Linked DNA regions of Notamacropus eugenii. The protein of the gene in region 2 interacts with the protein of the main gene of each other region in a pairwise test. Links are inferred from orthologs where the notes say so. Each region holds a gene or a part of one and is shown on either strand. Other genes may lie near its edges. The genes, in order: FGF12, DACH1 and RNF14.

Region 1 (7,782 bases), about 120 Mb from region 2:
TTTACTAGCTGTGTGATCCTGGGCAAGCCATTCAACACTTGCTGCCTTGATTTCTTCCTCTATAAAATGAGGTGGAGAAGAAAATGGCAAACTACTCCAGTATCTTTGCCAAGGAAACCCAAGCAGGAACTTAAAGAGTCAGACATTACTGAAATGACTCAACAACATAGAGGCTCACTTTTCAACAATTTCAGCTGTCACAGTGGTCTTCCTCCCGAGGCACTAAACTAGCTACCCCTGGAGAACTTCAGGCAAAGATTGCTTGGCAGCCTTTTGGGGAAAGTGATAAAGATATTCTGCCTTTTAGGAGGAAGGAATTTATTAAGCTCCTACTTTGTACCGGGCATTTATTTCATTTGTATTACTTCATTTGATACTTACAGCCCTGGGAGGGAAGTGCTGTTATAATTCCACTTTACAGATGAGGAAACTGAGACACAACTTAGATGATTTACCCAGGTCAGATAGCAAGGAAATGTTCAAGGTATGACTTGAACTCAGGTCTTCCTGACTCTAGCCCTAACTTCTATCTAATGTGCTCTCTACCTGTCCAGAGCCTGCTAACCTCTTAAGACCTCACAGATGCTGAGGCTGTAACTCCTCACAACATCTTGTACCTGACTCATCTTCCTTAGCTTCAGAAGGAAGTTAATGATGGGATAAATAATCTAGAAGGATGAATAATTAACAGTAGAAAACCACTCTGAAAATCTACAGCTCCTGAAATTCTTAAATGAAACAGCTTATCTGATAGCATACAGGAAGCAACATATCCTGGTAATAGGGATTTTTGAGTTCGAGAAAATCCTACTCTTCTCAGTCAAAAGTGAAGGGTTTTGTTATCAGTAGAACTATGTGCATTTGGTAATCAGCAGAACCATGTACATTATCTGTTTTACATATCCAACTGATTTTGGCTTGTCAAAATGCAGAAGTGATTTTCAACATCTGCTCAAATAGCAATTTTTATCTGACCCCCCCTCCCCTTCCCCATTTTAAACCTTAAGATGTGTTCCATTGATTACCTGGTGATCCAAGGTCAACATTACCCCACAGGACTGAAAAAATAAAGTCAGCTCCATGAAGGATGAAAAAGTAAAGAATGTTTAAAGTGAATTTGATTCCTTAAGACAACAATAAGTCTATTGTGGGGCTAGAGGAAAATTGATCAGATTTTGAGGCAGCTGGTCAAAAGGAGAGCAATCTCAGCACTTCTCCGCCTCCAGAGAGTCATAGCCAGATTCTGTGAGAAAGTGTCTCCTTTTGCTTCCACTTGGCACAGAAGTGTTATATCGGAGGGGGATAGATAGTGCTAAGTACGGTCATTCCCTGAGTTCTTTTCTCAGTTCATTCCTCCCAAGTATCCTTTGCTACTGTTAACACTGGTTTTCCCATAAAAGTTGCCTAGTCTTTCTGCTCAGTTGGCCAGCTGTGAATTGGAAGAGAGGGCTCTGCTTTATCAAAGACAGGAGCCTCACCAATCCAGTCTGTTCTTGTGTTACTCCAAACTCAGGGATGAATTCTATTAGCCAAGTAAAATCACTTTCTTTGCTGAATTTGGACAAGTCTTTAATTGATAACATCCATATGGTGCTACCAGTTGGTTTTAAGCCCCCACTCATATGCACTGAAATGCATTGTGTCTCATTTGTGGCAAATATATATTTTAACAAAAACTATTGTCAGAACACTGTGGACCATTCCACTTCTCATTCAAGCAAATGAAGCTGGTGCAAGAGTATGGTCCATGAGCCATGGGGGTTTCTCCTCCATGTTTACCCTGGAATGCAATGAACCTGCCCTCGAAGGTCCCTGTTCTTAACTTGATCCCTTCTAAGCAGCTGCCAAACTGATTCTATAATTCCCTTACCCCAACTGCCAGCCCAAGACTCATCTGGCTCATATTTCCTAGACAGCCAAGTATGTACACAATTCCTAGCCTAAGCAGTCACACATGCAAAGTTCTTGGCTTTCCTTCGGTGCAAATCTACCCTTTTCCCCAGGCACACTCTTGCCTCTGCATGGGGACTGATGTTCTGTACCAGAATGACATCTCTTTGAGGGAGTGGGTTTGATTTATTGTTGTCCAAATGTCATCTCACTCCCCACCTAGAAGCTGTTGTCTGTGGCTATTTGGTCACTTAAAATCATGTCTGACTCTCTATAGCCTCATTGTGGGTTTTCTGGGCAAAGATGTTGGAGTAGTTTGCTATTTCCTTCTACAGCTCATTTTACAGATGAAGAAACTGAGGGAAACAGGGTTAAGTGACTTGCCCAGGGTAATACACCTATAATCTGGCACATGGCATTGGCTGCTTAATCAATGTTTATTGAATAATAGTTGTTGAATTCAGTTTTGCATTCCAATCATCCTTTGGATTTATTCTCAAAGAAACTATCTAGAGTCTATATGTGTGTGTGTATTATATATGTATTTCTAAAATCTCAGACTTGGATGGAGTTTTTGAAGGAGATAAGTGGTGCGGTGGACAGAGGGTTAGGTTTGGAGGTAAACAAACATTAGTTCAAATATTGACTCATATCCTTACTAACTGTGTGACCCTAGGCAAGTCAATTAATCTCCCTAAACCTCAGTTTTCTCTTCTGTAAACTGAAGGAGACAACCTTGATTGTCTGCAAGAACCTTTCCATTTTAAAATCTTTAGTACTATAAACTTTCCCCCCAACCTATAGCTCAAGAAGAGTATTATCTCCAATGCACATCCAGCATCCTCTTACAGATCTCTAGTATGGAGGAACTCAGCACTTCCCGAGGCACCCCATTTCACTGCACTGCTGTAATGTTAAGAAGCTGTGCCATATTGTAATGAGCTGCCACTTTCTTCTTGATCTTCTGCTCTTGACTCTAGTTCTGTCCACTGGATCCGGGCAGAGTCAGTCTAATCCGTCCTTCCACAGCAGCCTCTAAATGCTTGAAGAAAGCTCCTCTATGTGTTCCCTTCCTTTCCCCCAGCTCTCCTCAAAGCTAAACATTCTTTCATGTAATGATCCTCACATGACCTGGTCAGGCTCCTGAATGTATGTTCAAGCTTGTTAAAGTCCTTCATATGTAAGTGCCCAGAACTGAACACATCACTTGTGTACGTGCTCTGTTTGGCAGAGCATATCTCCCGACAGTTTAGCAAATGAGTCTGGATTCTCTGTTGCTGATGCCACTTAGCATCATGTCTCTGCTTGGTAAAGAGTGAGGAGAATAGATACGTGATAGATCTATTGTTTGCATTTACTGGGCAAGTGACCACCACTTGACACAGGAGACGTAGAGGATCACATCCTCATTCTAAAAGAAACCAGAATGTATACTCAGAAAATTACAGAACAATTCTAGGGACTTCAGAATGACTGTGTCAGGGCAGGTGATAAGGCAGCTGAGTTCTCCCATGCTTTGCCGATATCTCAGAATTCCAAGAGACCCTCAGACTTTATATATCAATGAGTTATAATCTAGTCTGATTGAAACCCAGTCTAGTCCATTGATACCTTACTCTTAGTATAAGGATTCCCCTTTCTCCCTTTCAACCCCAGAAATCAATCCTAGATTGACTCGTGGTTCTATTCTCTGATGTCAACAGCAAAGGGTAGAATCTATTTCGTTTTCATGTAACAGCCCTTCAAATAAATCTTGGAACTGGTTTTCACCATTTTTGTCAGCCTTCTCTGGGTATCTGGACTCCTCAACATCCTCCCCATATTGTGGTGCCCAGAACAACACACAGTACTTCAGATGCAGATTGACCAGCATAGAAAATAGAGAATGCCCTCTCATATTGGACACTCTCCTTTAAGTGGTTAAAGTTATTGTGGTTTATTTTCCTGAAAGTGTCAAACTTTTTCACAAATGACCTTGGGTGGGGTTAATACTTTAAACCCAACAGAGACACCCTGGGTCTTGGCTTTACATAAAGATAGAAGGCACTTTTAAGGTGATCCAATTCAATCCACTTCTTTTGCAGAGAGAGAAATGGTTTCTTCGATGAGAAAGGGATTTGCCCAGGATCATACACCTAGTGGATATCTCAGGAGAATTTGAATCTCTGTCTTTCTGGCCTCTAGTCATTGTTCTTTTCATTACACCAGGCTTACCTTAGTTGGCAGCTCTTGGTCAAGGGAATCTTCTGTAGGTTCTGGGAAGCCTCTGGGATTTGAATGACTCTTAGGAGGCTCTGACTCGCGGCCTTCACTTAGCTGTTTTGAGAAGGACTTGAGGTGGTGAACCCAGCAGGTGGTCTGAAGGCCATTCCCTGATGCCCAACTGCTTCCCAAATAGAGAAATCGTTAACTGAGCCAAACTTACCCAGGGTCCTTACTGTGTTTTTTCTCTCTCTCCCTTTCGCTAACACTCTTTAGCCACCGCTCCTCTGTGTAATCAACGTTTTGCACACAGTAGGTGTTTCATCTTGCAGTTGGGCATGTTGTTCTCCTCTCCCCTGCCCCTCTCCCCAGCTCACACACCCCTTCCGTGGCTGCCCAGGGCCCTTTTCTCCTCAGCAGGTCTTCGGCAAGAGATATTTTCTCTTCAATTCGGTAAAGGAGGGGACAGAGCACACTCGAACTGCAGTTCCCTAGCTCTGCCTCTGAGAATTTCTCATCCAAACCTCAATCACGTAGGATTGCGTAGAGAGAAGAGGAGAGACAGAAGACACAGAAAGAGAAGGGGGAGGGAGGGCGAGAAGGAGGGAAACACAGGCAGCCGCTGGGGCTGGGGGAGGGGGAGGAGGAAGACCAATGCCATCAGCCGGAGCCCAGGAAGAAAATGGGCCCAGCAGCCCACGCTTGCTCGCTGCCCAGCGGCTGTTGAGGGCTGGATTTTAACGCCCTCCTCCCAGCCCCCCTGTTCTTTTTCCCAGGCTGCAAGGCAGAAGTTCGGAAGGCTTTCCCTTTCTCCACTCCCCACCCCCTTCCCAGTCATTTGCCCCAGCGTGTCTTCTCTGCCTGGAGTTTCCTCTTCCAGACCTGAGCGAGCCCCAGCCAAAGTGAACAGAAGCCTGCAAGCCCAGTCTGAGCCGGAACCGGAGCCCGAGCCTGAGCCCGAATCTGAGCCAGATCTGCAGCGGGCACCCAGGGGTCTGTTGGGCCGACGGACCAGCCCTTCCCGGCCTCTGACTAAACGCTCGCGACGTAGCCCCTTGTGAGCTAGGCTCAGCCCTGAACTTGACCTCCCGCGCCCAGCCGGGGGCGCCGATGGATCCCCCGGAGCTTCCTCTCCGTCCGACGCGGGAATACCCCTTGCCCTGAGCCGCGCCAGCACCCAGCTGCTACTGGGCGGGCTTGGGGCGGTGTCGGCTGCGGGCGCTTACTGACGGCGGGGCACACTAGCTCCTGGGCAGCCGGTGCCTCTTGGGGAGCAAGCTCTCGCCAGTCTCCCGGGGCTCGGCTCTCCTCTGGGCTGACGCGAAGGGCCGGGTGGGCCGGACGATGATGTGGCTCTGTGCGCTCCCGGAGCTGCCTCGCCTGGCAGCCGCCGTCTCAGGCCAGCAGCCTCCGAAGGGCAGGATGATGTGTGCCCGCAGCGTGCCGGTGCTCCTAGCGTCCTCTCCAGCCGCCCCCTCCTCCTTTTCCTCTGCCTGCTTCAGCTGCTCCGGACGCGTGTTGTCTTTCTCCCAGGGCTGGGATGGGGACCGCAGAACTGTCTGAGCGTCCGCGGCCGCCTGCGTCTCGGATCTAATCCATCGGTCTCCTGGTTGGGCCGATTATTCTCTGTGTGGAAGCGGGGACGTCTTTCTGAACCCGGGGCGAAGGGTAGGCGCCGCGGGTGGGCCGGCAGGCCGGTAGGCGCGAAGCAGGGCCCTCGGGGCGATGCCTTGAACCCTTGGACTCTCCAGAGCCAGGGCCCTCCTGCTTCTGGGCCGGCTCATGGCAGGGAAGCCCCGCTAAAGCGGCCCAGGGAGGGCCTGGGCCGCGCTCAGCACCCCAGAGACACCCCCCCCCCCAATCCAAGGCTGAGCTACTCCGCTGGGGCTGGGGATCGGGGACCCTCCGCTGAGCCTCCCAGACGCTCATTTCCCGAAGGTATTCCCACTGTGCGGGTCTAATCCAGGAGCAGAAAGGGATTTCCCTCCTGCAGACTGGGCTCTCTATCCCCTCCTCCCCGCCTCTTGCCCTCACCGTGGGGGCGGGCGGGCGGTTCCCGGGGGCGCTAGGCTCCCGGGGATCTCCCTCCCCAAGCTCCCTCCCCTCCTTTTTCTTCCTTCTTCCCCCCTCTCTCTCTCCCTTTTTCCCTTGACTACACCGCTCTGGTGAATTGACGTTCCCACAGCTTCTGGCGCTCCTGGAGCTCGCCCCACAGCTGGTAACAGCTGCCAGGGCAACACCAAACCCGGTGAAGCACCAGAACCGGGGCCCCATTCCACCTTGCTCCGATTTGTGTCCCCTCCACTTTCCAGGTAGCCTTTGGCTTCCAGACGCAAGGCACTCATTTCCGTTTGGAACAAAACGTAAATCTAGCCGTCCACACAAGTACCACCGAGTTCGGGAGTGGTGGGAGATGTCGTTAGCACGGGCTGACCTGGGCTGAATGGCTCCTTTGGTCTTGCAGAGTCAGCCAACCAGCACTTAAGTGGCTGCCCGGCTTTTTCTCCTCAGCTTTGGTGGTTTCTTTTCTACAGGCCCTTAGCTTTTACTCACTTTTTAGCTTTTGTTGTTGTTAGCAGGGGGGCGAGTGCCCTCCCCACACTCACCGCTTTGTACACAGTTTTTACATCGAACTCTCACTTCCTCACCTTTGCTTCGGGGTCAGGGTGCAGCCAAGACCCTGAGGGCAGGAGTGTGAGGACTCGAGCCCGGAGCCACCTTCTTATTTGGGACAGGACCTCAGTGCACAGACACTCCAGAGCCGGGCCCGACTCCAGGCAAGCCTAGCTGAGCGCCTTGTTCAGCCTCACCTGGACAGCCGAGTCCCACGGCTCCAAGACCTCGGGGCCAACTTGGGGTGGGAGCGGGTGGGGGGTGACCTCGGCTTGCAGAAAGAACTACCTACCTTTTACTTTCTGCAGCGGCGCTCCGGGAAGTTTACACTCGGATTTACCTTCATTTTGTCTCCACCAACAAACAGTTCCTTCGTGGTCTCTTAATTACCCACGGATCAAGACTGACTTGGTCGGCTGCTGGGCGCCGGGTTTTCCCTACCGCAGCCAACACAGAGCTTCTTCATCACTGCCTCGCCTTTGCCTGATCGAGGCACTTTCGGGGTCCTCACTGACCTGCCTTGGATTAGGAGGGAAGGCTACCAGCCCTCCTTCCTCCCCCGACCCAGGAGCCCTCTGGGGCTGGAGCTGGGGCCCCGACGGCTGAGCCGCTATGGCTGCGGCCATCGCCAGCTCGCTGATCCGCCAGAAGCGCCAGGCTAGGGAATCGAACAGCGATCGGGTTTCGGCCTCCAAGCGCCGCTCCAGCCCCAGCAAGGATGGGCGCTCCCTTTGCGAGAGGCATGTCCTCGGGGTGTTCAGCAAGGTGCGTTTCTGCAGTGGCCGGAAGAGGCCAGTGAGGAGGAGACCAGGTCAGTGGCAGCAATTGAGATCCGCGGCGAGCTTCCTTCCCTCCCCCGACCCCTGGCAACCTCCTCTTTCTCACCACTTGGGTTCCCATGGAGCCCCTTCCCTCATCACCCCACCTAAGGTTCAGCAGGCACCAGCGATGAGGATGAGCCCCGGAGGCCTGGGCCGGGATGCTTCCTTCCCTCACCTTGCCCTAGGTTTCCTTTCCAAAACCCTCCACTAGCTGCTTCCCCTCCTTGCTTAGTTCCTCCTGGCTCTGTCCAACGTC
Region 2 (7,784 bases):
CTCTCCCCACCACAAGGTTCTCATCTTCTGAGTTTTATCACTACCCTCAAGGTAGCCAGCTAAGATGCAAGTCTGACAGTCTGTGAGTCCGGTTCTCATTCCTTCGGACAACAGGGGAGCTCTTCCTTTCTGGTTACTTCCTAAAATAACTCTTACCTTCACGCCCAGCCCAGCCTATCGTCCTAATCAGCTACATGTGCAGATAGAGCCCTCTCTGTTCTGGTCTTCACGTTTATTTCAATAGCATTTGATTTTTCTAGGGCAGTTATGCACGTTATTCCCTCCCTCTCGTCTGCCCTTGTCATCTCTAAACGAAACTCTTAACTTTCACTACACCCTTCCTATTTTGTTCTATTTGTTCTAGGTTTTGACTTTTGCTCCATCGTTCCTATGGGACAAAAGATGAGCTGCAGTGCCAGAGAGGTTGTGTGTGTGTGTGTGTGTGTGTGTGTGTGTGTGTGTGTGTGTGTGTGTGTGTGTGTGTGTGTTGGCAAAAGGTTTGAGGAACGATCCAGGATCCTACAATCTCCAGATCCCTAAAAGCTGCCCCTCTCCCGCCCCCTCCCGGTACAATCCTGCCCCTCCGAGCACGCAGACGTACAGTGAAACAGCTCTGGAACTGGACCCGTGGCTAATACAGCCAAGGCACTCCTCGGTTCCCAGGCAGCTACTGGGAACTCGACTGCACCTTCGAGCCCAACTCCCGCACTTGCTTCTTCACTGAGCCACCGACCTCAGAAAGAGCAGGGACCTGGCATCTTTCTCCTCTCCCCAAGTCAGTTAAGCCTCGGTATCTGGAACTCCACCCCACCAGAAGAGAACCAGCCTGCTGAGTCTCTTTTGCCCCATGGCAACAGCCTTACTTTCCTTCCACTTTCCTTCCTTTCTGGCAATCACTTGCACACACGCGCGCGCACACACACACACACACACACACACGCACACACACTCCAGAATATGAATCGTATCTCTTTCCTCCCTCCCCTTTATATGCTGTAGCTAAATTTACCCTGGAGAAATGGGACACTGATAGTTCAATTACTGGGTCAATTCTCAGACGCCAAAACAGTGTGCCCCTAGACTTTGAAGTGTTATCCCGGGACCATATTTCCTTAGCTTCACCACGGGGAGGGAGACTACTCCCCGCATTCTCATCCCTTACTCCGAAACCCATCTTTCCAGCACCCCATCCCCACCCCCAGCCCATTTGCTTGGCTGGGAAAACCTGATGCCTCGAGTTGGATTCCGCATCTTCCCCTTTCACAACCTCCCCCAACCTCATCTTAATCACCCGTTGGAAACACGCTCCGCAACAAACAAAAATCACACTTCAGTGAGACTCGCACTCCGGAGTGCCTGACTTTGGGGAGCCTCACTCCACGCGGTGGGAGGGCAGAGGTGAGACAAGGTAGGTGTTCTCAGGTTTTAGCAAACTGGAAGAGGAATGAGTTTCCCCGCAAGATTCAATGTTCTCCACGCTTCCAGCCCAGCCCCTTCCTCTCAATTCTCCCCTTTCTCCCAAGTCCCTCAACACTCAAAGCACTCACTGCCCCCCCCCCCCGCCCACTCTCCCCTGCACACAGAGTTTAACATTTTACTGGTGAGTAGAGAGAGGGCATGGGACCGGCAAGAGAGGGGAAAAGGAAAAGGGAGAAAGTAAGCGCAGGATAGAGAGAATGGGTTTTCCAACTTCTCAGGACAGACTGGATGAGGTTCAGTTTGGTCAGGCTTGTCAACAATACCACTGAAAGGAAAGAGAGACTCGGTGAGTGCCGAGGTTCGGTGGGGCTGGTGAGGCTGCAGGACTGAAAGACGAGAAAGAGGGGGGCGGAGGCGGGTGGTTAAGAGGGAGCTGGGTGCTAAGGGATTACCCCCCTTTACCTTGCGTTGGTGCAGTCATTGTAGAGGGTCTCGAAATCCTTCCTGGAGATGAGCTTGCAGCGGTTCACCCCGGGCTGGATAGCCCCTAGTCCCCTCAGGATGCGAACCTGTTCCACATTGCACACCACCGGCGTGATCTCCAGCCGCTTCAGCTTGGTGTAGACCGTGTGCAAGCCCCCGACCAAGTGCTTTAGGAACAGGTCAAAAGCTTGGGGCAGGCAGATGAGCTCGCAGCCCTCCACCGTGAAGGAAGCCACTTTGGCCCCCCTCAGATCCACCATTTTGCACTCATTATTCTGGGGGGTGTTCTCCACTGGGGAAGGGGTCGAATACACTGGTTTCCCCGGGAGGTTGCCGCAGCTGCTGCTGCTGCTGCTACTGCTGCTACTGCTGCTGCTGCTGCTGCTGCTACTGCTGCTACTGCTGCTGCTGCTGCTGCTGCCGCAGCTGGCGGTGCTCACGTTGAGGCTGGGGTTGGAGGTGCCTCCGCCGCCGCCGCCGCCGCCGCCGCCGCTACCGCTGCTGCTGGTGCTGCTGGCGGTGACCAGGCTGGGGTTGCAGCTGCCGCCGCCGCCGCCGCCGCCGCCGCCGCCTCCGTTGCTGCTGGTGCAGCCGCCGCCGCCGCCGCCGCCGCTGCCTCCGCCGCCGCCGCCGCTGGTGGAGGTGACCGTGGCCGCCGCCGCCGCCGCTGCCGCCGCCGCCGCTGCCGCTGCCGCCGCCGCCGCGATGGGCTCAGGTCGAAAGAGGGTTGGCCCTGAAGACGCCGGGGGACCGATGGAGGGACCCGGAGAGGAGGTCGCCGAGGACGTGGAGGTGGTGGTGCAGGAGGAGGAGGCAGAAGTGGAGATCGGAGGTTGCGGGGGGACCAGCTGGGTCGGAGGGATCAAAGCAGCCGGCACGGCCATGGTGACATATAAGAGGAGAAGAAGGAGATTGGGGGGTGGAAAAAGTTGCCACACACCAGGGGGAGGGGAAGGAAAGGGGGAGAACGAACGAGAGAAAGCAAAATCCCCAGAAAGATAAAGAGGGGGAAAGAGAGAGAAGAATGAAAAAAAGAAAAGAGAAGAGAAAGGAATGGGAGAATGAAGGGCAGAGGGGGTAAGAACGAGAAGCAGGAGAGACACGCACAAAAGTGTCCCGCAAGTCCAAATGAGTAGTCCTCTCCAGGGGCTGGGATTGGGGGCTGAATTTTTTTAGGGGGGAGGGAGGGAGGGGGGGAGGGTTGGCTATTGTTTTTTTGGGTCCTGCTCTAGCACAAAGTTAAAGATGAAGGTGAAAAGGAGGAGGTTTGAAGGACTTCGGTTCTCTCTGGCAAGTACATTGATCAAAGATTGAGAGGGGAATGACAGAGAGAAAATGAGCTGAAAAGTGCTGGCTGCTCTCTGGACGAGTTGTTGTTGTCACACGGTGCAGAGGGGAGGAGCTCCGGAAACTTGAAATACCCTTTGAAGCCTCAAAAACCTCACTCACTAGTATTAACCCAAATTATCCAACCAGGAACCCGGAGCAGAGAAACACAGACTGAGCGAGAGATACTGAGAAAGAGAACGAGAGAGTACGAGAAAGAGAGGGAGGGAGGAGAAAAAGGGTGAGGAGAGAGATTGTGGGTGGGGAGGGAGGTGAAGAGAGAGCGACATAGACGGCGGGGAGATGGGGGGGGGCGAGGAATGGGAGGGGGACGAAAAAGGAAAGGGAGATCATCTTTTCTTTTAATACTACCGTTAGATTACATGTTTCATATTTCATCTCATCCGCGACGACATGTAATTTTCCAAACGCATCTAAGCAATCTCCTGTCAACTTAAAGACGAACAAAAGCACTTTGAACAGTTTCTTATAGGAATTAGGACGTATTAAAATGATTTTGAAGAAAATCAGGTATAAATGGAAGATCTACATACACTTTCTCCTTCCATACATCTTTATGAAGGTTTGCATTTGCTTTTAGTTTACTTTAGGGAAAGTTCCTATGCAAACCTAAACGTATGATTTTAATTCATTCGTTTGTTTGGTCACTTGTTTGTGAGTACGTTTTTTTGTGTTTTTTTTTGAGCTGGGCTAGTAAATACAGATCATAGACTGAAAGTTGGAAGAAATCAGACATCTAAATTGCTAACATAATAATAGCAGATGTTCTTTTTATCTGCTCTGTATTTCAGTAGATTGTAGGGGGAAAAGAAAAATGAAAAGATATTCTCGATGTGGATTTTACACAGGTTAGCTATGTTTCCTTGCCAGTCAGAAATAGATGTAAGATCCTCTGACTTCAAAAAGGAAAGGCTAGCTAAATATAAAGCAGGTACACACTTATGTACTTTATGGATCTCAAACTGTGAGAAATTCAAGTGAATACCAGCAACAACAACAACAAAATGTTACTCTGTTTAAAAAAGACAAAAGACTTTCTGGTATGTTATGATAAAAGATCTCTTTTAACTTACAGTTTTCGAAATTAACTCATTCTATGGGAATATCCTTTCTGTCTAAATTTTAAGAAATTACACTCAACACACACACGTGCACACACACACGCGCGCACACACACACACACACGCACACACACACACACACACACACACACACACACACACACACACACACACACACACACACACCCCTAAATAGCAGACCTGAAAAAACAAAGTGGAGATATATAAAAATTAACTGGTAGAATTATTCTCAATCACCTTTTTAATTCATCTTATTCTTACATTCAGCTAACCTGTTGCATTTAAGTATTTAAAGGGTCTCTGACCAACAGGTGATTTAAAATAGCATAAGTCACAATGTAATCCTCTGTCTATATCTCTGTGGATCTTGAATAATTAGGCTTTCTCTACACATGCGCAGTATCTAATTCTGCAAGGTGTGAAATGATGCATTACACATTTGACAGAAATTATAGTTTTGTATATATTTTGAAAGCTGTAAGTCCATGTTGTTGAATTATACACTGAAAATTCTATGTCTTATTAGTTAAAATATTATTTTTCTTATTATTGAAAATTTGTTGTTTGTTGTTGTTTGAGGGAATACAAAAAGCATTGAAAAACATAGCTATGTCAAAAATCTACTCACATCTATCCTAAAAAAAAGGTACCTTATTTCGCCAGAATTTTCTTATTGGTCCACATCATGGAAGGAAAGCATATACAACACTTTCTAGGATATCTTAAATCTGTAGACAACTGTTTGTCCTGCCTGGTATCAAACGTCAGCTATCTTTTTAAAAAAGTTGAAATTCTTTTGGTCATCAAAGGTGTCTTCATCTAATAAATTCTTGTACCAATGTGAGGATGTATATGTACATATATGCACTTAAAAATATCAAAAACAGTAAGTACATGTTTATTTTAAAACATATTTAATGCAGATTTCATATTCAACAGGGGGAGAAAAGTTACAAACCCTTGTAAAACTGATTTTATATTGGAAATGCAAACACAACTTTAATTATAATGGCACAGCTTGATGTCACCATAAAAACTTCAGCTACTTTGAAAAATGTTAGACCACAGTTCTATCATTTTGAATTCTCTACCCATAAATGAGAACAATGCAAAACAAGTGTTGAAAAGCTGCCCTTACCCCCTCTGGTTTCCCACATTAACTCAGAGTACCATGCATACACAACCATGCCACATTCCTGTAACATACAAGCGAGGCAACGATTGCAACTAGAGCATGACCCTCAATTATGTCACCATTTTACCTTAACTTCTAAGAGGACCCATGATGTTGGGGGGAAGCTGTGCCCCACAACACGTGCTTACTTTATATAGTAGGGTATTATGGAGTCTGTCCCTTCTGAAAGAGTTCTGAGACAGAAAATCTTCAGGTTTTCAGTCAGTTGAAAGAAAACCATAGTTTGAAAAGGTTCATCATTGTGTAGCATTTGTTTGATCAGACGATAGCATTAGGAACTAAGCATAATGAAAATAAAAATATATTTATGGAAGGGTGCAAAAATCTTCAGAGTGCCTTGCTTGAGAAATGTTAGGAACAATTAAGTGAGCTTGAATTGTCCTTAGCAGAAGTATCAATCTAAGAAGGACTTGAATTTATCCCTTTATCCCTCTCACTTATAGCTTTTCAAGGTATTTTTGGTTGGTTGTTTGTTTTACATCTCAGGTCATTTCAAACACTCTTCCCCCATCGTCTCTTCCTCTAAGCTCAAAGTATAGTCACTGATATTTGAAAATTTTCCCTGTGTCAAGTGAAGACTTATTCTGCTGAAATCAATAAGACTGTTTAAAATTCAAAGACCTGCAAATTGTTCTGTTTGTCCTTTGATAGGGCCTGTGCTGATTAAAATGCTACCAAGAAAGCTTAATTGCTGCACTAATTAAGAAGTCTTTAATTTCTTTCCTAGGATATTGTTTGAAGCTGAGCTTCTCTTGCACTCTTGTAACTGTTCAGGGCAGGTATTCTCTTTCCTCCCACTATCCTTCCTCCTCCCTTTCTCCTCCTACCCTACCCCACCTTCCCCAGGGACCATTTCTGGGTGAATGAGAACCTACACCAACAGTAAGCTAGCTGATAGGTCTTGTAGTTTTATTACTTAACAAACAAACAAACAACACACACACCCGCGCACACACACACACACACACACACACACACACACACACACACTACTAGAGATCATTGCTTTATGAAATCCAGTGAGGAGACTTGCTATAATGTTGAAAGATATAGTCAGAAAGTGTACGGTACAATGTTGCTCCTCAAGTCTGAGCGAATATCTCCTGAACGACAGACTCCAGGCACTCTAGCCCTGTGCAGGGCACAGCCTTTTGGTTTCCAAAGGGCAACGACAAAGCACAAGGTCTACAGAGAAAAGAAAACATAACAGCACGCAACATATGATAGCAAAGAGTGCCATGGAGATAGTAAGACATTCTTTGAATTGATACTCATGTTCATATTTAAGTTTTAAAACATGAATTCCATCTGGATTTATTTTGCCTTTTTCCCTTTAGAGAAATACATCAGTATATTATTATATTTCATTCTTTCTTTACCTATTGACCTATACTATTCCCTGATTTCTCAAGTGGGGAAACTGACTAAATCATTTCATAAAACTTTCTCTGAGATGAGTACTCATTTTTAAAGTTTATTCATGTTTAATTGTAATTTTGATAAATGACTGAAAAGCAGAATATTGTAAGAAAGATACACATTTTGAAAATACTAGGGTAAATAATTTCATTTCATTCTCAGGTTTTAATAGACATCTAATACACACACACACACACACACACACACACACGTGTGTGTAAATATATCCACTGGAACTTCTTGTAAATCTGAGGGAGAAACATCTGAAATTGTACCTTTCCTAGAGCACAAAAGAAAATCAAATGATTGTGTAACAAAGTCAATGTGTATCAAGATCATATTTCTTGAACATCTGAATATTTCTTGAAAACACTTAGATCCACTGTTGATAACATTATTAAGTGAAACTGATATAGTTCAGGGGTCAGATGACTGACACTAGACGCTCAAATTGCAAGAAAGGATATATGACTATCATTCTTTTCTCTGTCTTTCTCCCACCTCAGTTGTATTTGAGTCAAGCCAGCACACAGAAATACACAACACAAATACAAACTGAATTCCTTTCAGTGACAGGACAAGATAACATGCTTAATAGATACAAAGGGAGATTTACCATTCCAAGCACGACGTCACTCTAATTATGTTTACCCTAATTGAAAGCAAGGTTTTTGGAATTTGAAATTACTTACAAGATTTTTTTTTTAAATAATGCAAGTGGATCAAATGTTGATCGCAAACATTTCAGTCTTTCGAAATCTATTGGAAAATTAAATGAAAAGTGGAATTTGGTACAAAGAGTGCCCCAGGGCAAAAAAGAACTAACACTCGATTTTCCA
Region 3 (7,911 bases), on a different chromosome or scaffold from region 2:
AGGCAAATTATTCTCTTTAGGCCAGCCACCGAATGAGGAAAGTAATTACTAATTTTTCCTCTTTCCGCCCCCATCTTTTCATAACGGTAACATTGGCAAGTGTTGCCTCACTCTATCCTCCCAACTCAGAGCAGGAGGTGCTGTTATCCTCGTTTTACAGATGAGGAAACTGAGGCAGGCAGAGGGTCACACAGCTACTGAGTGTCTAAGCCCGAGCCTTCCTGCCTCCAGGTTCGGTGTTCTCTCCCCGGCACCCCTGACTTTACTGGGGTAGGGGCTCCCTTCCTTCTAGAAAAAGGGGCCAGTCTGCGAATGGGGACGGGGACGGGGACGGGGAGGGGGCGGCCGTCCGCCCCGCCCTTTCCCACGGGGCGCCTCGGTTCCGTCGTCTCCCCACGTTCCGGGGATGGATTCGGGCAGGCAAGAGGGGCTGTTTGAAGGTGTTTCGGGGGAGTTTCAGAACCCGCACTAACAACCCTCCCCGCATCCTCCGCGGGCGGCCCTCCAACCGCCCGGCCCCGCCTCGCCTCGTCTCCCCTCCTCTCCATACCGGGCGCCTGGAGGCCAGCACCCTCACCTTCCGGTGGCAGCCCGAGCTCGGCCCCAAAGGTTCCGCCCCGCTCTCCCCTCCCCCCTCCTCCCGACCGGTCAGCCCGCGCGGCCAGCGCCTCGGCACCGGGTGACTGAAGGGCCGTCGCCGCAAGGGTCGCTACGGCCTGCTGAGCCGCCTCCGCCGCCGCAACCGCCGCCGCCGCCGCCTTTCAGCTCGGCCCCCACCCCCGAGGAGGAGGTCGGCGTGGAGGTCGGCGGCGACTTCCGCTCCCTGCCGTCCACCTCACCTGGCCCGGCAGGCAGTTTCCTCTAACCACAGAGCAACCGAACGGAATGGGATGGGATGAGATGGGATGGGGCGGGGCGGGCCAGGGTGGGGTGGGGAGGGCGGGGCCGACGGCGGGAGGGAAGGCGCGGCGCAGACGCTGACGCTCCGGGAGCTGCGCCCCCTGCAGGGTGGAGGTGGTGAGAGCCGGAACGGCCGGAAGCGGGGAAGCCGGAGAGAAAGGGCAGGAGGAGGAGGAAGAGGAGGACGTGGAGATGGAACCCGGGGGCATCCCAGCACCACTGGGCCTCGGGCTTTACAAGTGGGTGTGTGAACAAACAAGCCCCAGGTGGTTCTCGAGGCACACAAGCCCTTGCTCCTTCGGGGGCTGAGGCTCGGTGGCTTGCCCCAAATCACAATAGAGCGTACGTTCATTCATTCCTGGGCACTTTCTGCTAGACTACTTCCAGAGGTGCCCCCAGGAAGCGCCCCAGTTCTCTCCTGTCTGTCTGCTTCCCCCTCATTTGCTCTGAGATCTTGGAGAACCTCGGAGATCGTCCCACGTTTGCAAATTAGGAAATGAAGTCCAGAGACGCCTCCACCGGCTGCTTCTCTGGTTTGGTCCCCGCCGTCCCTGGTTGGCAGTGACCCAATCACTTCACCTTGGCCCGGTTCATGGAGCCGGACCTCGCAAAGAGGTCATCCACACTCCCTAGCCTGTGCACCGAAAAACCGACCCTTCTCCCTCCTCTCCCGCTCTTGGCCAACGTCCTGCGGACTAGACTGGGCTGCCCGAGGTCGGAAGGGCAAGGGCTCAAGCGATCCCGGCACAGTCTTGATGTTAAAAACAGAATGTGGTTCGGGTTGAGAAACCTGTGGAAGGCACATAAGAACCCTTCCCACTGTAAAAGGCCATCCTTTTATGGTAGGAGCGCAACCAAATGGTTGTTAAATGGAAGTGAGACCACTGAGGGATGCAGAGCTCACACCTTTCTTCTTTCCTGGATTTCCACGTCTCTGCAAGTTCACCAGACATTGTTCTCCTGACCGAGGTTGTAGCGAGGAATTCCCATTTATCTCCTTACATTTTTGGGGCATAATAACAGTAGCTGATGTTTATGTAGAGCTTTAAGCCAAGTACGTGTTAGGTACTTCATAACAACTCTGGTAATACCTATGCCCATTTTATAGATGAGAAAACTGAGGTTCAGAGGGACCCAGTGACCGATCCTAGACAGTAAGGATCCTGGACTGGGTCTAGACAATAGTGAGGTTAGTTGACACGTTATTCAGAGTATTCAAGCCCAAAGATTCCTGACCCCAAGTCCAAGTCCAGCACTCTCTACTGTATTAAAATGCAAGTCAGGTCTAGTACTATCCACTGTAGTGGATACTAAAAGAGGAATGAATTGAAGACTCTCAGGGTTACAAGCCAGCAGTCATAGTGAAGCAGTATTCTAAGCAACACTTCACATGTGCATGCCCTCATAGTCTGTCTTCAGTTCTAATTGTAAAATACAGGGGGTGGGAAAGAAGGACGTTGGAGCTGAGAATTCTTATTCCATCCAGCTAGGGTTGAGTGACTAAGGCAGTATGCATTATAGATTATATTATAGATATCATAAAAGTGCCACATGGTGCAGTACGTAAAATAAGTACAAAAGGAGTTAAAGAGAAAGAATAGTGTAGGCCTGGGGGGAAGAACTGGAAGAAGGTTCAAGACTGGTCTGACTAAAGCAGAGTCTAAGCATCAGCCTTTTTATAAAGCAAACAATTATCCCTCCCCCATTTGCATTTTATAAATCTGAATTTTCATAGATCATGTTTGATTAAAGCCTTGCCTGTAATTGAAATATAGCTCTACAATGGAAACAAAAACCTTGAAAAATCAGTCCAGATGAATGACATTCCTTTGACCAAATTCACTAATGTCGTTTTCACTAACAATCAGTGTAGGCAAAAAGGAGAAAAAAATCTTTGCCTCCTCCCTACCTCAGAATAGAAACCAAATGAAATACTCAGCCAGCTGCTATTAGTAAATAATTCAGCCTAAAGGAAAGTGTCTGGGCCCCATGAAAGAGCTCATACCTTCTCCATCACAGGCCAGTAGAGCTTTATTATTACACAGCAATCCTTGTGTCATTGGTATGTTTCCTTGTACCCTTCATTACCAAATGCATGTATGTGAGATTACATGATCCAGTATGAGTCTATAGGATAACCCATAAGGATTTATCTAAGACAGGCAGTCATAGGTTTAATTGTGACACCATGTGATGTCACAGACAGTGAATGGAGATAGTTGAAGATGATGGCCCCTGAGTTGGAATTGTGTTGTCAAGATAGTTAGTTAGTAATGATAAGCATTGAAAGTGGCCGTGTTCCTATTTAGGTTCTAAATTGTTTTTGAGAGTATGGTTACAGAAGTTTTTATGGTCCAGAGCTGAATTCAGGATGTAATTTAGGGAAGTGTTTGAATCAGCCAGAATCTGATTACTTGAAGAATAATGAGATTTCAAGGGCAATATACTCCCTGCCTTTTCATGACCTGTTCTTTGGCCCAGATTGGGAAGGTAGCACATCTAAGATGCAAGTTCCCGATTTGAATCCTGCCTTTTGGTTTGTTAGTTTAGTAGCATTCAAATGTGTGGCTCTTGAGGCTGACCAAGTCACTTAAACACTCGGAGTATCAGTTTCCTCATCTATGAAATGGGAATAATGCTTTCCAGGACCTACTTCACAGTGGTGTTGAGTAGATAGATGGGACTTTTTTAAACCTCAGAGTACTAAATGAATTGGAGCAGCTAGGGGGTGCGGTAGATAGAGCGCCAATGCAGAAGAAGGACCTGAGTTCAAATCTTACCTCAGACACTTGACACTCACTAGCTGTGTGACCTTGGGCAAGTCACTTAACCCCAATTGCCTCATCCTGAGTCATCTCCAGTCATCCTGATGAATATCTGGTCACTGGATTCAGGTGGCTCTGGAGGAGAAGTGAGGCTGGTGACCTGCACAGCCCTCCCTCACTCAGAACAAAGTCAAGTGCAAATCATGTCACCATTTCTCTGATGGCATGATCTTCAGCAATGAAGGAAGAACACACACACAGGTAGCCACAATAGTGATCATATTTATATGATGAATACATTGGACAGCTACAAAACTCAGGTCCTTTTCTTATTCCAAGTCCAGTGATTTTTCCACTACATTATCCTGCTTCTCAGTATTGCTGGTACCTAATAGGTAGTGTGTAAACTTGGTCTTCTCTGAGAGTGAGTTTGATCAATTGATTAGAGAAATATAAGACTAAGATCAAGGTTTTAGATAAGGGACTTTAACTGATAGAGATCACTGATAAGCTATGCCAGCTTTTTCCATTCTCATTTTGAGTCTACACAATAGGAAGTGAGGTTAGCTGACTTGGAGACGCTCTAGATTATGAGATACAGTGAGTTTTAGGTTACAGTCTCACTGACCATTCCCAGATCAGACCATTAGCTATCTTGCTACCTGTCTTGTCATTTGTTACAACCTCCAAAGATGAGGTCCTAGAGGAGCTAAGCTCCTCAAGCTTTGGAACTCTGGATCTTGTAGCCACGCTGTCCTGATTAGTGAGAGCCAGCCCAGATTAAACCATGCCACTTGACCAGGCCATCTTCTTGCCATCAATCACTGTTGCTGCATGGACCCACTAAACACCCTGGTTATAGATATTGTCTTTCTCTGTTACAATGTAAGTTCTTTGAGGGTCAGGGACATGCTTTTTCATGCATACCTTTTGGAGCTAATCGGTAGATGTTGATGTTGAATTGTCTAAATTGGGCTGTGATATACCTGTGTGTGTGTGTGTGTGTGTGTGTGTGTCTATATATGTATATGCATATATATGTACGTGTATGTATGTGTAGACATACTTGTAAGTTTGTTTTGAACTCTGGAAGCAAAGTACATTAAGAAATGAAGTCTCAGAAAATAAAGTATAGGAATTCTCCCTTCACATTGGACTCTAAAACCAGAGACCCAGTTTGGGGGTGATATGTGGGTACAGAGAATAACTCTAGGTTACACCATTTCAGGAGATTTCCAACTGAAGCTGCTGAAGAGAAACTTCAGAGGATCATCAAGTCTGAAAGATTCTCTTACTGTCATTGTAAAGCTCATTTTAACACTAGATCTAGGAAAAAAAACTGCTGAGGGTATTGGAAAAAGCGTACAGAGAGCTTGATAATAATGGAAATTAAAAGGATTGTCTATATCTCTCTTCAGCCCGAAGGATGAATTGTTGGTCCTAAAGCTGTATATATACAACTAGTAAAAGCAACTGTCTTTTCTCTCTTATTTTAATTGTTCCATTATTAATGATTATTTTTCACCTCATCTTCAGATAACCTTTAGATTCATAAGACAGACAGGAAATGTTAGAAGCTTTCTTGAGAAGAATCTTTTGCCGTAACATTCATTTGCTTTCTAGATACTTGAATGTTAACTGTCTCCAGCTCAGTCCCAGTCTGACCACTAGGTCTCAGTCAAAGGACTTGTTCTTAAAAGCAGGCAATGCTGAAGGCCCAGAATCAGGCTCAGAGTTCTCTTTCTCTGCTTAGTTTGAAGCAAAGAAGCTTTTATGGCCCCAGAGACTTAGAGAAAGTCTTGCAAAAAAGAATCAGGAAGTAAGCCAGTGATGTGTAGCACAAGAGATTTTTATTATAGTACATCTCACCTCACACAAGAGAAGGGCAGAAATCTAAAGTGAGATACCTCAGGGAGGGGAACATGGAGGACAGGGACAACAAGGAAAGGGTATAAGCAGGGAAGGTGCCAGACCTCAGGTGTGACATTCCTCCTCCAGAGCAAGAGGAGGAAATTTGGTGGTGGGTGGGAGGAAATAATGGACAAAATTGCTCTTTGAGCTAACTTCGTCAAATATGTCTTCTTTCACTTCTAGTCAGTGTGGGAGATAGCCAAGGCCCTGTTTCCTCCAACTGCAAAGAATCACTCAAAAATAACTCTCCATTAGGGCGACTTAACAGTAAAGTCTCTGGATATTGGGGGGATGGGGAAGGGGAAGAAAGGGAGCAGCTCTCATCTGAGCTCATCTGATTGGCTTCCCACCTCTGATGACATAAGCAGGGAGATACCAGGGATTGACCTGGGGAAAGTACCTATTGTATAAGTATGAGGCATTTATGTTTCCAGAAAAAGGCAAGAAATTCAGGCATGCCCTGAAGAGGGAGGAAGCATATCTAGAGTAGAGGCAATCTCTTCAAGAGACACTAGACCTTCCCCCACCCCCAAATCCAAGTGGTTATTGTAGCATATCAAAGTCATATCAAGATCAGTCCAACTGGGCAGTTCCAAACTGGTTTTAGGAATGTTGTAATCAATTATTAATGTAATCTGGACAAAGATAAAAACATTGCAATATAATCTAAACTTCAGGTACATATACATACACACCTATATATATATATATATATATATATATATATATATATATATATATATATATAACTAGTAAAAACAACTATGTCTTTTCTCTTATTTTAATTGTTCCATTATTAATGATTATTTATAGGTGTGTATTGTATATATTGTATTATATATTATATATAGGTATGTATGTATATGTATGTGTATGTATATATATATATATAACTAGTAAAAACAACTATGTCTTTTCTCTTATTTTAATTGTTCCATTATTAATGATTATTTATAGGTGTGTATTGTATATATTGTATTATATATTATATATAGGTATGTATGTATATGTATGTGTATGTATATATATATATATAACTAGTAAAAACAACTATGTCTTTTCTCTTATTTTAATTGTTCCATTATTAATGATTATTTATAGGTGTGTATTGTATATATTGTATTATATATTATATATAGGTGTGTATGTATATGTATGTGTATGTATATATATATATATATAACTAGTAAAAACAACTATGTCTTTTCTCTTATTTTAATTGTTCCATTATTAATGATTATTTATAGGTGTGTATTGTATTATATATTATATATAGGTGTGTATGTATATGTATGTGTATGTATATATATATATACATATATATGTACTTATAGACACATGTATTGCTTCAAAGATCTGTGGGGTCATCAGAGTAGTCAGTCAACACAGAAGGTAATCTTTCTACTAGACCATAGTAGATGGTCTTCCTTACCTGGGGTAGCCAACCCACTGATGAGCCTCCAAATTTATCTAGGCTGGTCCTTGAATAATAGACAATACAGTCTCCTGTTACACCCACAGTAGAGGCCATATTGTTGACATGGCATCTAAGAACTCAGGGTTATCTCTATGCTATGACAAAGCACCAGAGTAGGTAGGATTTCAGTAATGGAGGATATAACAATGATAACAACTTACATTTTTATAGTGCTTTGAGGTTTACAAAGTGTTTCCTCAAAACCATGCAATTATAATTTTTTAACTATGAATTTGATGAAAAAGTCAAAGGAATGTTGCAATATAATAAAAGCCTCAAGGGATTATGTTGATATATATGGATAGATAGATGATAGATAGATAGACAGACAGATAGATAGATAGATAGATAGATAGATAGATAGATAGATAGATAGATAGATAGATAGATAGATAGATACCAGATGAAACATTCTAGGACATTTGGGCACATTCTAGAATGTAAGTGAAATCAAGGTGGAGACAAGTGTGATACAAGGGCATAAGTGTGATACAAGGAACCCTCCCTGTGATGAAGAGGAAATGTTTCTTGAATGTCCTGAGTCTCTCTCCACCCTGCTACCCCAAGTGCAGGATTAAAGTATTTCTCAATATTGTTTCCCTTCTAAGGGTCCAAGTTACTCTTTGTCCCAAGGGACAGGGCTTGGTAGGAGTTAAACTTTAAACTCTCCCTCCTCTCATAAAAAAAGTTAATCCAACAGGCAGGTAAGAAGATGCTGAATGAGAAAGAATAAGTAAAACACAACAAAACAAAAAACTCAAACCTGAAAAGCCCCCTAATGTGATGGAGGGATTTCATGGATGGATCTTTCAAATTAAAAACAATGCAATGATAAAGGCACCTGAAGATGATGAATAT

The links.
Region 1: the proteins of DACH1 (region 2) and FGF12 interact in binary tests that used the Homo sapiens proteins (3 or more experiments, as listed by UniProt). The two-hybrid records come from large-scale screens. The link is inferred for Notamacropus eugenii from reciprocal best matches to the Homo sapiens genes DACH1 and FGF12.
Region 3: the proteins of DACH1 (region 2) and RNF14 interact in binary tests that used the Homo sapiens proteins (3 or more experiments, as listed by UniProt). The two-hybrid records come from large-scale screens. The link is inferred for Notamacropus eugenii from reciprocal best matches to the Homo sapiens genes DACH1 and RNF14.

Annotation. Positions count from the first base shown.
Region 1 is NC_092877.1:384,453,904-384,461,685, reverse strand, and holds the start of FGF12 (fibroblast growth factor 12), read left to right. Parts: upstream 1-4,716; 5' UTR 4,717-7,317; coding exon 7,318-7,516; intron 7,517-7,782. UniProt on the Homo sapiens protein: Involved in nervous system development and function. Involved in the positive regulation of voltage-gated sodium channel activity. Promotes neuronal excitability by elevating the voltage dependence of neuronal sodium channel SCN8A fast inactivation.
Region 2 is NC_092877.1:266,364,098-266,371,881, reverse strand, and holds the start of DACH1 (dachshund homolog 1), read right to left. Parts: upstream 3,072-7,784; 5' UTR 2,787-3,071; coding exon 1,882-2,786; intron 1-1,881. UniProt on the Homo sapiens protein: Transcription factor that is involved in regulation of organogenesis. Seems to be a regulator of SIX1, SIX6 and probably SIX5.
Region 3 is NC_092872.1:369,341,759-369,349,669, reverse strand, and holds the start of RNF14 (E3 ubiquitin-protein ligase RNF14), read right to left. Parts: upstream 3,024-7,911; 5' UTR 2,906-3,023; intron 929-2,905; exon of another isoform or gene 840-928; intron 806-839; exon of another isoform or gene 551-805; intron 490-550; exon of another isoform or gene 1-489. UniProt on the Homo sapiens protein: E3 ubiquitin-protein ligase that plays a key role in the RNF14-RNF25 translation quality control pathway, a pathway that takes place when a ribosome has stalled during translation, and which promotes ubiquitination and degradation of translation factors on stalled ribosomes.